Linked DNA regions of Drosophila melanogaster. The protein of the gene in region 2 interacts with the protein of the main gene of each other region in a pairwise test. Each region holds a gene or a part of one and is shown on either strand. Other genes may lie near its edges. The genes, in order: Arp10 and CG3548.

Region 1 (4,357 bases), on a different chromosome or scaffold from region 2:
TTCATCGGCTTCTTCGTTAAGTTGATACACATCCCCATCAACAATATCATCGTGGGCTCTTAAATGCGCTGAGTGGCAAGGAAACCACCAATCATCCAATCATCCATTATAGCATACATCAGATCAACGTCTTTTTTTTTCGTTTAGTTAACATGCATTATATGTATGGACCATGTGCATTCAGCGAATGCCTTTCTAACAAAATTCTACACAAACGTACGAAAACGTATTGTAATGTTTCGATATTCCATTCATGAACAAGTTAGTTAATAAGATTCAAATGTAAAAAGGAATCACCCGTCTTCATAGCATTTGTTTGGGGTGCGCATCCCCGCTAATAAATGTTAAATTGATTTTCCGTGTACAAATGAGATTCTTTTAACTCTGAGAGACGCAACGTTACATTGCTTGAAGAAAGTAAAGTTGTAAATGAAGCTGATAAACCGACATCATCATTAGAACCAAGAATAAATGTCCAGAAAACGTACAAGCAATATTTTGTTTAAAGCTCGTTAGCCTATATTTCGTAAATATTTAATACCTATATATTACAGAATAATAATCAAGAGTATGTTAGTACGCGTAACCAGTAAAGCGCCGAAGCGTACATATTTCCATCTTCCGGGACTGCCCTCGAGTCTACGAGCCTGTCGGCCTATTATCGCACAGGTTGCTCCAGTCGGGAACGTGCTCGCTCTTTAGATACGTCTCCTTGACCAGCGATCGTGTCTGGATGAGATCCGTCGCGCCGCACAAGGCGCCGCCCAGCCAGGCAGTAAAGTTTTGCTTGCCGACAGCATTGAAAAACTTGAACTGCAGCTCGCCATGGAAGCGTTCGGCGTAGAACGGATCCTCGGTGAGCAGATGCTGCAGCTCCTGGCGGAGGCGGGCCAGCAGACCCTGGACCATTGAGCCGCCGCCCACGAGGAACACACTCTCGACCAGGGCACGTCGCACGTCTAGTGTGCAGTCGAGAATGGAGCGCAGGATGAGATGCGGCAGGCTGTCCCGCTCGTTGCTGGCCTCGAACATGATCTCGTAGGCAGACTCCCGCAGGAGGCCGGGCACCTGGATGACCGCATCGTTGTCGCTGACAATGTAGTCCACGTCTGGCGCGGGAGTCGGCTGATTCTCGTCGCCGTTGGCGCGGGCCTTGGCTCTTTCCATGGTGGTCACAAAGCAGGTTCGCACCTTGATGTCCTCCAGCACGCTTTCTGTTAGCAGGCTCTCCTTAACGCCACTCTCAACCAGCTGCCGCTTGATCTCCGCGTGGATGGCGCTGCCTCCGTAGCTCTGATCCTTGAAGGCGGCCATGATTTGCACCCCGCTGAAGACGGGCATAACGCTGGTCTCGCTGTAGCCAACGTCCACCACAAGGGCAGTGGGCACTGCCAGCGTAGACAGCGCAATGAGATGCACGGGCACGAACAGCACGGAGGAGACGTCGAAGTGGACAAAGAGCACGCGGGCCAAGGTTTCACGCAGCACAGTGGATCCGAACACGTTCTCCACCAGCACGAACTTGCGCTCCTTGGGGCTGACCAGTAGATGCCTAGAAGGAAATTACATTGCAATAGAAACCAAAGCCACCGAGTCACCTACTTGAAGAAGATCGTCTGCAGAAAATCCACTAGCTGGTCGTACAGCTCCTCCGGAGTGTCGTAGTCGAACAGACGCTTCCGGATCCCCGTCGTGGTCATCACCACCTCCGTGGGCATGATCTTGCGCGGATACGCCTCCGCTGCGAATCCCAGCCTGAAAAGGGTGCAGTGATGACTTCATACCACTTTCGCCGAATTATTTGCGTTTGCTTACTTGGTGTAGGCGGTGCCAATGTCGAGGACAATGGGCGGCTTCTCCTGCATCACGCTCTCGTAAATGGGCATCTTGGCTGCTGTCTGCTGGCTGCTTGCTCCTTTGCTGGACGAACCGACTAGACCATGGAATGGTATATTGTTCAGTTCGCTTAATTTTTGGCCAAAACAAGAAGTTATCGGTGTGCGGAAATCATCGATTGACGATGTAGCGAGCAAACACCCTGTTTCCACTAATGGCATCCGTTTTACTGGCACGCTTTTCAAATTTCTGGGTAACTTTAAAACTTTGCCTATTGGTTTGAAATACATTCAATTTGGTATTTTGGTATTTTATGGCTTTTAAAACCCAACAAGATAAAATTTTGAAAGTAGCTCGGAATCATTTGGTGTCAGTCGATTATTCTGCTTTTAAGAGGTCTAACTCTTACGTACAAATAGAATCAACTTTACTTTAGTTTATTGCAGTGTACATACATATGTATGCTTTTCAGTAAGTTTACAAAACTACTTTATCGAATTTAAGAAGTTAATTTCGCGAGTTTGAAGCTAATAATTATAATGATTCTTGTGAAATTAAATTCATATATCTTAAGAACAACTTTTGTTCAATATAATCGCAAAGTCTCCGGGCGCGCTTCGTCACTACATTAACTGCCGTCCACAGTGATGTTTTCTTGCATGGATATCGTCCTGTTTGAAATTATTATATTGCGTATTACTAAAACAAGTCGGTTCCACTTTGAATTTTTAAATTTATTTCAAATTTATCTGCTTTATCTTATTTCGATTTGTGTTTTTGCACGGTCGACCGCTTCGATTTCATTATGTTTTCTTAGTATCCTGGTGTGTTTTTGGGCTATAATTATTATACTGCATAATGCATGATGCATTCGCGGTGCGGGATGTGTGATCATATACAATTTGATGTATTATATAATAATAACTTTTGCCTATCAACTAAACCTAAGCGTAATTTCAGAAATATTCCTTCAAATGATAAATGTGTACAATTATATAAATTACATTATGCCTGCGCATAGGTAACTATACAAAACGAGGAAAGCACAATTCATTAAATAATTAATTAATTAACTATGTATAAAATGGTCTTCTGGCGTCTCTGCGAAGCACCTGGGACCTGGGGCCATAGGACGAGGGCTAAGGATTGCGGATTGACGGTTGTGGGCCGGAGTATTGCTAACTAGCGATTCTAGTAGTTCCTTTGAGCAAACAAGTTTAACAAATTTCGAATAATAAATAACAAAGCAGTAACAAGTCACGAGTCACCATTTTCCTCCAGAAACTGGGGGGGAAACGGTTCGGATCGAAGCGGTTGCGATGCCCGCATGAGACAAATTCAATAAAAAATTGCTTCATTGCGGGTACGCTTAAAATTTAGTTGTTAAAATAAATAAATTAATAACTGTAAGATCTGATTGGGAACTGGGACTGGGACTGGGACACGGACTGGGTCATGGTCTTGGACAAGGGCGAGAAAAAGTGCGAACTCATCGTCTAAGCTAATTTACAGTTACATTCAGTTCAGTCGTCGCTAGTTTGGCAGCTGAGGTGGCCGTGGTCTCGACATGCTCCTGATCCCGGTCCTCGACCAGGACAGAGGTGGTGTCACTGGTGGCGCCGCCTCCGCTGCGACGCCTCCTCCTGCTTCTCCTATCCTGTTCCTGTTCGTTTGTGTATCTCGTTTTCTGCTTCCGCTGCGCTCCGTGTCACTTCTCCGGCCCAAAGAGCCTGGCCAGACTCGCGTTCTGATTGCTATCCATGATGTCAGCCGTGGTGCCCATGGATCCCTTGGCCTTGTGCGACTGCATGGGCGGCAGATTGGCTATCTGCACCTCGTGCCGGAACAACTGGTTCACGCTGCGTCCGACCAGCTGGGCGGTCAGCTTTTTGAAGATGTCCTTCTTGGCGCGATCCACTTTGTTGCCCTTGACGGGCGCCACGGCAATCTTTTCGTCGAACTTTTGAATGTCGGCCGCATTCACGCTGGGGATATGCTGCAGCACTTCGCTGAGAATGGGGAACTGCGGACGGAGCAGCTCGTAGAACTGCACGCCCAGCGTCACCAGGCCCGATTGGTTGGCCTCGTGCTGACCGTGCACCTGCATGCCCTGCAGGACGGCGGTAAAGGCCGTGACGGCCTTGTTCTCGTCCATTAGTTTCTCGGCGGCCAGGAAACGCATCACGGGCGCTGCGATGTTGACAGCCTTCATGCTGCACATGCCGTCGTTCCAGGCGATGGCTTTTAGCAAGGTCATGAGCACATAATTGCCAATGAGTCCGTTGCGCAGCAGCTTGCCGCCCAAGTCGCTTATGATGTCCGAGAGCAGTGCCGACTGGATTGCTCGCGATTGCGGTGCGCTGTCCATCGAGTGCTCCTCATTCTCCATGGCCACAGAATTGCTGTTGGCATTGGCGCCAGCTGCCACATGATCGGCTCCAATTTGGCCGCCCACCAGCGCGATCTTTAGCACGTCCAAATACTCGCGCGTCAGCGTGCGATTGAGCTGATCCTCCAGCAC
Region 2 (4,892 bases):
GCCGACGAAGAACCCAACTTGCTCGCCATTCAACTGCTTGGAATCGCTTTTATCGTAGACCTGCAATGTAAGCAAATGGTCTAGGCTAATTTCATATGAATACTATGAATTGCCCACCGAGAATGCGAATTCCATTTTCAGCTGAAGATCTTTGGTGAAGTATACGGTGAAAAGCCGCACAAAGGACTCCAAGTGTATATGCTTGTCGGAAAAGAAGTCAGGAGGCCTGGAACCTGGTGTATGGGCTATTCTATACACAATGGTCGCAATGAGATCGCGATCCACGATCTCAAACAAGAGCTCCATCAGCGCAGAGAGTTGCTGAATGGTCATGTACTTTGCTCTCGGCCCATTGACCAGCACAAACTTATGGTAGAGCATTACAATGCTAATCAGCTCGTTATGCGAGAAGATCGAGTCCTTTGCCAGGCGAGCAATGTCCTTCATATACACGTAGTTGAAGCGGGCATTCTCCAGAGTGTCCAAGGAGCCGTCCAGGTCCTTCATTTCGATTTATCACAGCTTTCTAAAAGTTCAAGTGGATGAAATATATTGATAGAACCCTTGATTTTTAAATACTAAGCATTTGCAGAGTTGCCCACTTTGATTCCTGTTTCGGGGACTGAGAGATCGGAGAACCCCCCTTTAAACGCACGTCGTTCATCTGTTTATACACTATGTATTTGTATTTCATTATCTAATGGTTTAATCGTACCTTGCTCTCGCCCGATATAGGGTATTAATTAAGCAGAAGCAGGTGACAGGATATTACAGCGCTATACAACACGACGTACAGTAACTTATGCTTAGACGAATTATAAAAGATTCTCGCAATGTATGGACAATGGATACATTGATCTGCAACTACGGCAGCCCAACTGGTGGCAGCACAAGTATAAGTAGTAGTTGTGTAAAAAAAACTTAAAGCTAACAAATGAAGGTATAAAAATAATACAGTGGCCATAGAGAATACTGACTGATGAGTAAATTGCGTTCTGCAAAGGGGAACTTATTCAGAGTCTGTGCATGAGTATTTTCGAGTTTGTTTTTTTTTCGACGACACAACCGCATTTTGAATTGATCTCTTCGCCCGGAGTACTTAACAGATACGGATACAATTATGTAATACTAATTTCTTGAAAATGCAATGCCTGTGAGTTCGTCTCGTGCGAATTGCACAATAAACAACAGTCCATTCGTCCGAGTGGCAACTTGAGTGTGTCGATGAGTATTGTATGCGCGTCCGGCGTTTACGTTTCCGTTTCCGGTTACTCTGGCTGACCGGAAGAGCTACATTTCGCTAAACATATTTCAAGCTAAATTTTAAAGTACTGTTGATGTTTCCTCTAAATGCCTTACACCCTAATTGCTGGCTCTCTTCGTATTGTATATGCATATGGGCCAACAGCCACGCCCCTAGTTGCAGGCGGCATTGAGCGCCAGCGCCCCCTCCGCACTGGTCGATGGCCCGACCTCGTGGACATTGTTGTAGTCCGCTTTGGCATTGCACTTTGCTGAACTCTGATCCTGTATGCTTCCGTTCAGGCCACCGCTCTTCAGCGAGTAGATCCCCAGGCGCGCCTCGTGCTCCCGTCGTTGCTGCCGCAGCCGGATGTCGTGCTCCTCGCGCATGTGCCGCAGCTTGAGGTCCTGCTCCTGCCGGTAGTAGGCCATCTTCACCTCCTGCTCCATCTGCTCGAAGCGCAGCTTCTGCTCGTGTTCCCGCCGGGCGTAGTCGATTTCGGCCAGACGGGCCTGCTTGAGCAGCCTAAACAGGTCCTGCTTGTACTTCTGCTCTATCTCCGTGGCGGCGACCAAATCTAAGGACTGGCTATTTGTGTCTGCAACTGGGGTGGCGCTCGGAGCTGCGTTGGTGGAGGCTTCGTTCTCGTCGGACAGCAGCGACTGGGCCTGTGAGAGCTGGTTAACGATGAGATAGTATTATTAGTAAGAAAGATTAAGATTCCCCTTCACAAAAATTTGCAACTTGTTCAGCTAAACCTTAATTAATAATAATAAATAAACTTGCGGCTTGTGTTCAAACTCACATTCCTTTGTCGCCGCTTTCGTGGTGGGCCTACGCCCTTTTCGTTCTCCTCCCCCGTTTCGCCGGACGTTTCTGTCTTGGCGCCCGAGGGCGACTGCTTGGCCTTGGTCCGCTTGCGTCGCTGGGCTGGCAGCTGGGCGGGATTTCCCTCCTGCTGGGAGTCCCCGTCTCCGCCAGCAGTGGAGGGCGGCGGCGAGGGGATGGCTATTGTGGAGGTCTGCAGCGTGTCCTCGCTGGCGTTCGTAGAGTTGGGCAGAGCGGCCAGCGGCATGTCTTCGTCCTCGTCGATGTCCATGAGCTCCTTCTTAAGAGCGCCGTTTGTGTTCGCGCTGCGTGTCTGACTGCGCGAGGTGACCGGATCCTTCTGCATCTCCTCCAGGAACTCGATCATCCGCATGCCTTCCAGGGCCTCCGTTTTCGGATGCTTCTGCTGGTGCTCCCGCTTGGCGGAGTTCTTCATGCTGCGCCACTGCACCTGGATCTGCTCCAGCAGGCGATGGCGGAAGTTAAGGGCATTGAACCTGGATGGGGGGTTGGAATGGAAGGAGTGAAGGGCCATTATAAGACGAGCTCCACTGCCCAATGGCGCAACTTACTGCTTGGTGATCTGCGACCAGGCCAGACGCTTGGCCTTTATGCTCTTGGCGTCCACGCTCCGGTTCTCCACGAAGGCCACCTTGGACTTGATGACCTCAAGGAGCAGCCCCCTTTCCGCCTCCTCCCAGTTAAGGGAGCGTTTCTTGCGCGTGCCCTTCTTCTTGCCACCCGCGCCTTCCTTCTCGCCAGCATCCTCGGCCGCATCCTCCGCGTTCTCCGCCCCCTCGTCCGCGGTGGCGCTGCTTGACTTCTGCGGCTTCAGCTCCACCTTCTCGTCCTCGTCGTCGTCCTCCGGCGGAGAGGAGGCTCCCTTGGTCAGCAACTCCTCCAGTTTCATTGTTTTTGTTTACACACTGGATTCGCTTTGGCTGGATTCTGATTCGAATGCCCAGGCTTGCAAAAATCCTATTTGATTTCTGTATATACTGGAGCTTAGTGATGTGAGAAGTGCATCGTGCATCGGGCATCGATATATTCGCTGTATCGATGACGTAGCGAATACATCCTCCCTGTTAGCGGAGACGCACACAATAAATTCGCACATAGTATATTTCGGTATATTGGTCGATGAAAATCCCAGCTCTCGCCGCTTTGGTCATACTGTCAGTATCGAAGGAAGTAAGTAGCAGGCGTAATTTTATGTTTCATAAGAATCCGATTTAAGAATATATCTCAACCAAACCAGCGCGATGGCATTCGGTGACTATCCAGCTGAGTACAACCCCAAGGTGCACGGGCCCTACGACCCCGCTCGCTTCTACGGCAAAGGTGAGCAGGTTACGTAATTTTTGCGGCAGGCACAGAGCACATTTGCACTGCCCAAAAATGTGCAGCGTTTTACATAATTTAAACAACTTTCCGACCTCTCCGCTCTCTCCGATCCGCAGCCGATGTGCCCTTCGGCCAGGTCAAGCTGGGCGAGATCGGCGCCTGGCTGGGACGCCGCAACAAGACCCCCAACGCTGTGGCCGGAGCTGTGAGCCGTGCCTGGTGGCGCTGGCAGCACAAGTACGTGTTCCCAAAGCGCGCCGGGATCGCTCCCTTCTTCCAGCTGACCGTCGCCAGCATGACGTTCTTCTATCTGATTAACTACACCAAGTTGAAGCACCACAGGAACTACAAGTACCACTAAGCGGCGCTGCCCGGTGGTCCTGCATCTGCAACAGATTCTACACTTTCCACAAGGCGTGCGAGAGGCGGGCAATCACCACTAAACTATATCTATTTGGCTTTTGTGTTTTGAAAACTGCTTAAGTGAATAAAACGGCTGCGAATATCCATGCTGCCATAGACTCAGACTCGGTCTCTTCCGCACTCGAAGACTGCATTTGGGCCGATGTCCAGCTCGGAACTGGACTGCTCCCAGCCGAAAGTTGACCGGGCCGTGTGGATTTCGCAGATAAAGGGCAGCTCCCGGTCGCAGTTCAGGGTTTGCCAGGTTCCCTGCGGCGTCAAGGCCACGCAGCTGGCGTTGCCCAGATCACCACTGCAAATTCGGTTAGATTTAGAGAAGATAGCATTGGCGGCTAACCTAATAAACTGTCAGCCTACCCAACTCGAGGATGACCACCATCCCAGGCTCTGTAAAGAAAGCACTGCAAGCTCTCCCCTTGGGAGTTCCTGAAGTCCAGTGGGCTCAATGACGTTGAGCTGTTGTAGGCCAAACCCACATAGGCCAGATAGACATTACCTTCTGCCAGAGACTGTGATTTCCTGTTGAATTCCACTAGCCATTGGGCCAATAAACTGGTTCTGTGTTCGGATGCGATGTGGGCCAGACTACCAGTGAACTCCGAGGAGTTTGAACAGGTCAGTGAGGCATTCAAGTAGGCACTAGGCTGAGTATACACCACGAACAGCCCAACCTCCGGTATGCAGCTGTAGTTCCTTACGACTAGCAAGAACCACAAAATTATTCAACCAAACAGATACGCTAGATACTTCATTTAACCTGTTGGCCTTCCATATAAGCTGTAGTAATCGAAGCGACTGTCATTGACCATCCCTGAAAATGTGTTATTCTGAGGACACTTCAGGACGTGGCAGTTGAAGAACTCCCCTGGCTGTTCGAAGACACTCAAACGACTTCGAATGCGCTGCTCCTTGTCGCCCTGCTTGCCAAAGGACCTCTGATCAAATGCATTTAGCCTCCTTTTCGGTCCTCCTGGAGCGTAGTTCAAGGCCAGCCCACGCATATCATGCGCCAGATCAGCACATTCCTTCAGAGAGGATGTGTTTTCCAGGGCCA

Evidence for each region.
Region 1: the proteins of CG3548 (region 2) and Arp10 interact in a two-hybrid assay, tested with the Drosophila melanogaster proteins (2 studies listed by BioGRID).

Annotation. Positions count from the first base shown.
Region 1 is NC_004354.4:19,644,031-19,648,387, forward strand, and holds Arp10 (Actin-related protein 10), read right to left. Parts: upstream 2,147-4,357; 5' UTR 1,887-2,146; coding exon 1,816-1,886; intron 1,756-1,815; coding exon 1,603-1,755; intron 1,553-1,602; coding exon 640-1,552; 3' UTR 501-639; downstream 1-500. Other genes in the region: Sec61gamma (Sec61 gamma subunit), read left to right, coding at 1-63; Ranbp21, read right to left, coding at 3,545-4,357.
Region 2 is NT_033778.4:24,598,137-24,603,028, reverse strand, and holds CG3548 (uncharacterized protein), read right to left. Parts: upstream 3,083-4,892; 5' UTR 2,982-3,082; coding exon 2,644-2,981; intron 2,569-2,643; coding exon 2,049-2,568; intron 1,921-2,048; coding exon 1,417-1,920; 3' UTR 662-1,416; downstream 1-661. Other genes in the region: CG3565 (uncharacterized protein), read right to left, coding at 1-60, 118-507; ATPsynF (ATP synthase, subunit F), read left to right, coding at 3,334-3,412, 3,532-3,776; CG13587 (uncharacterized protein), read right to left, coding at 3,938-4,130, 4,196-4,538, 4,596-4,892.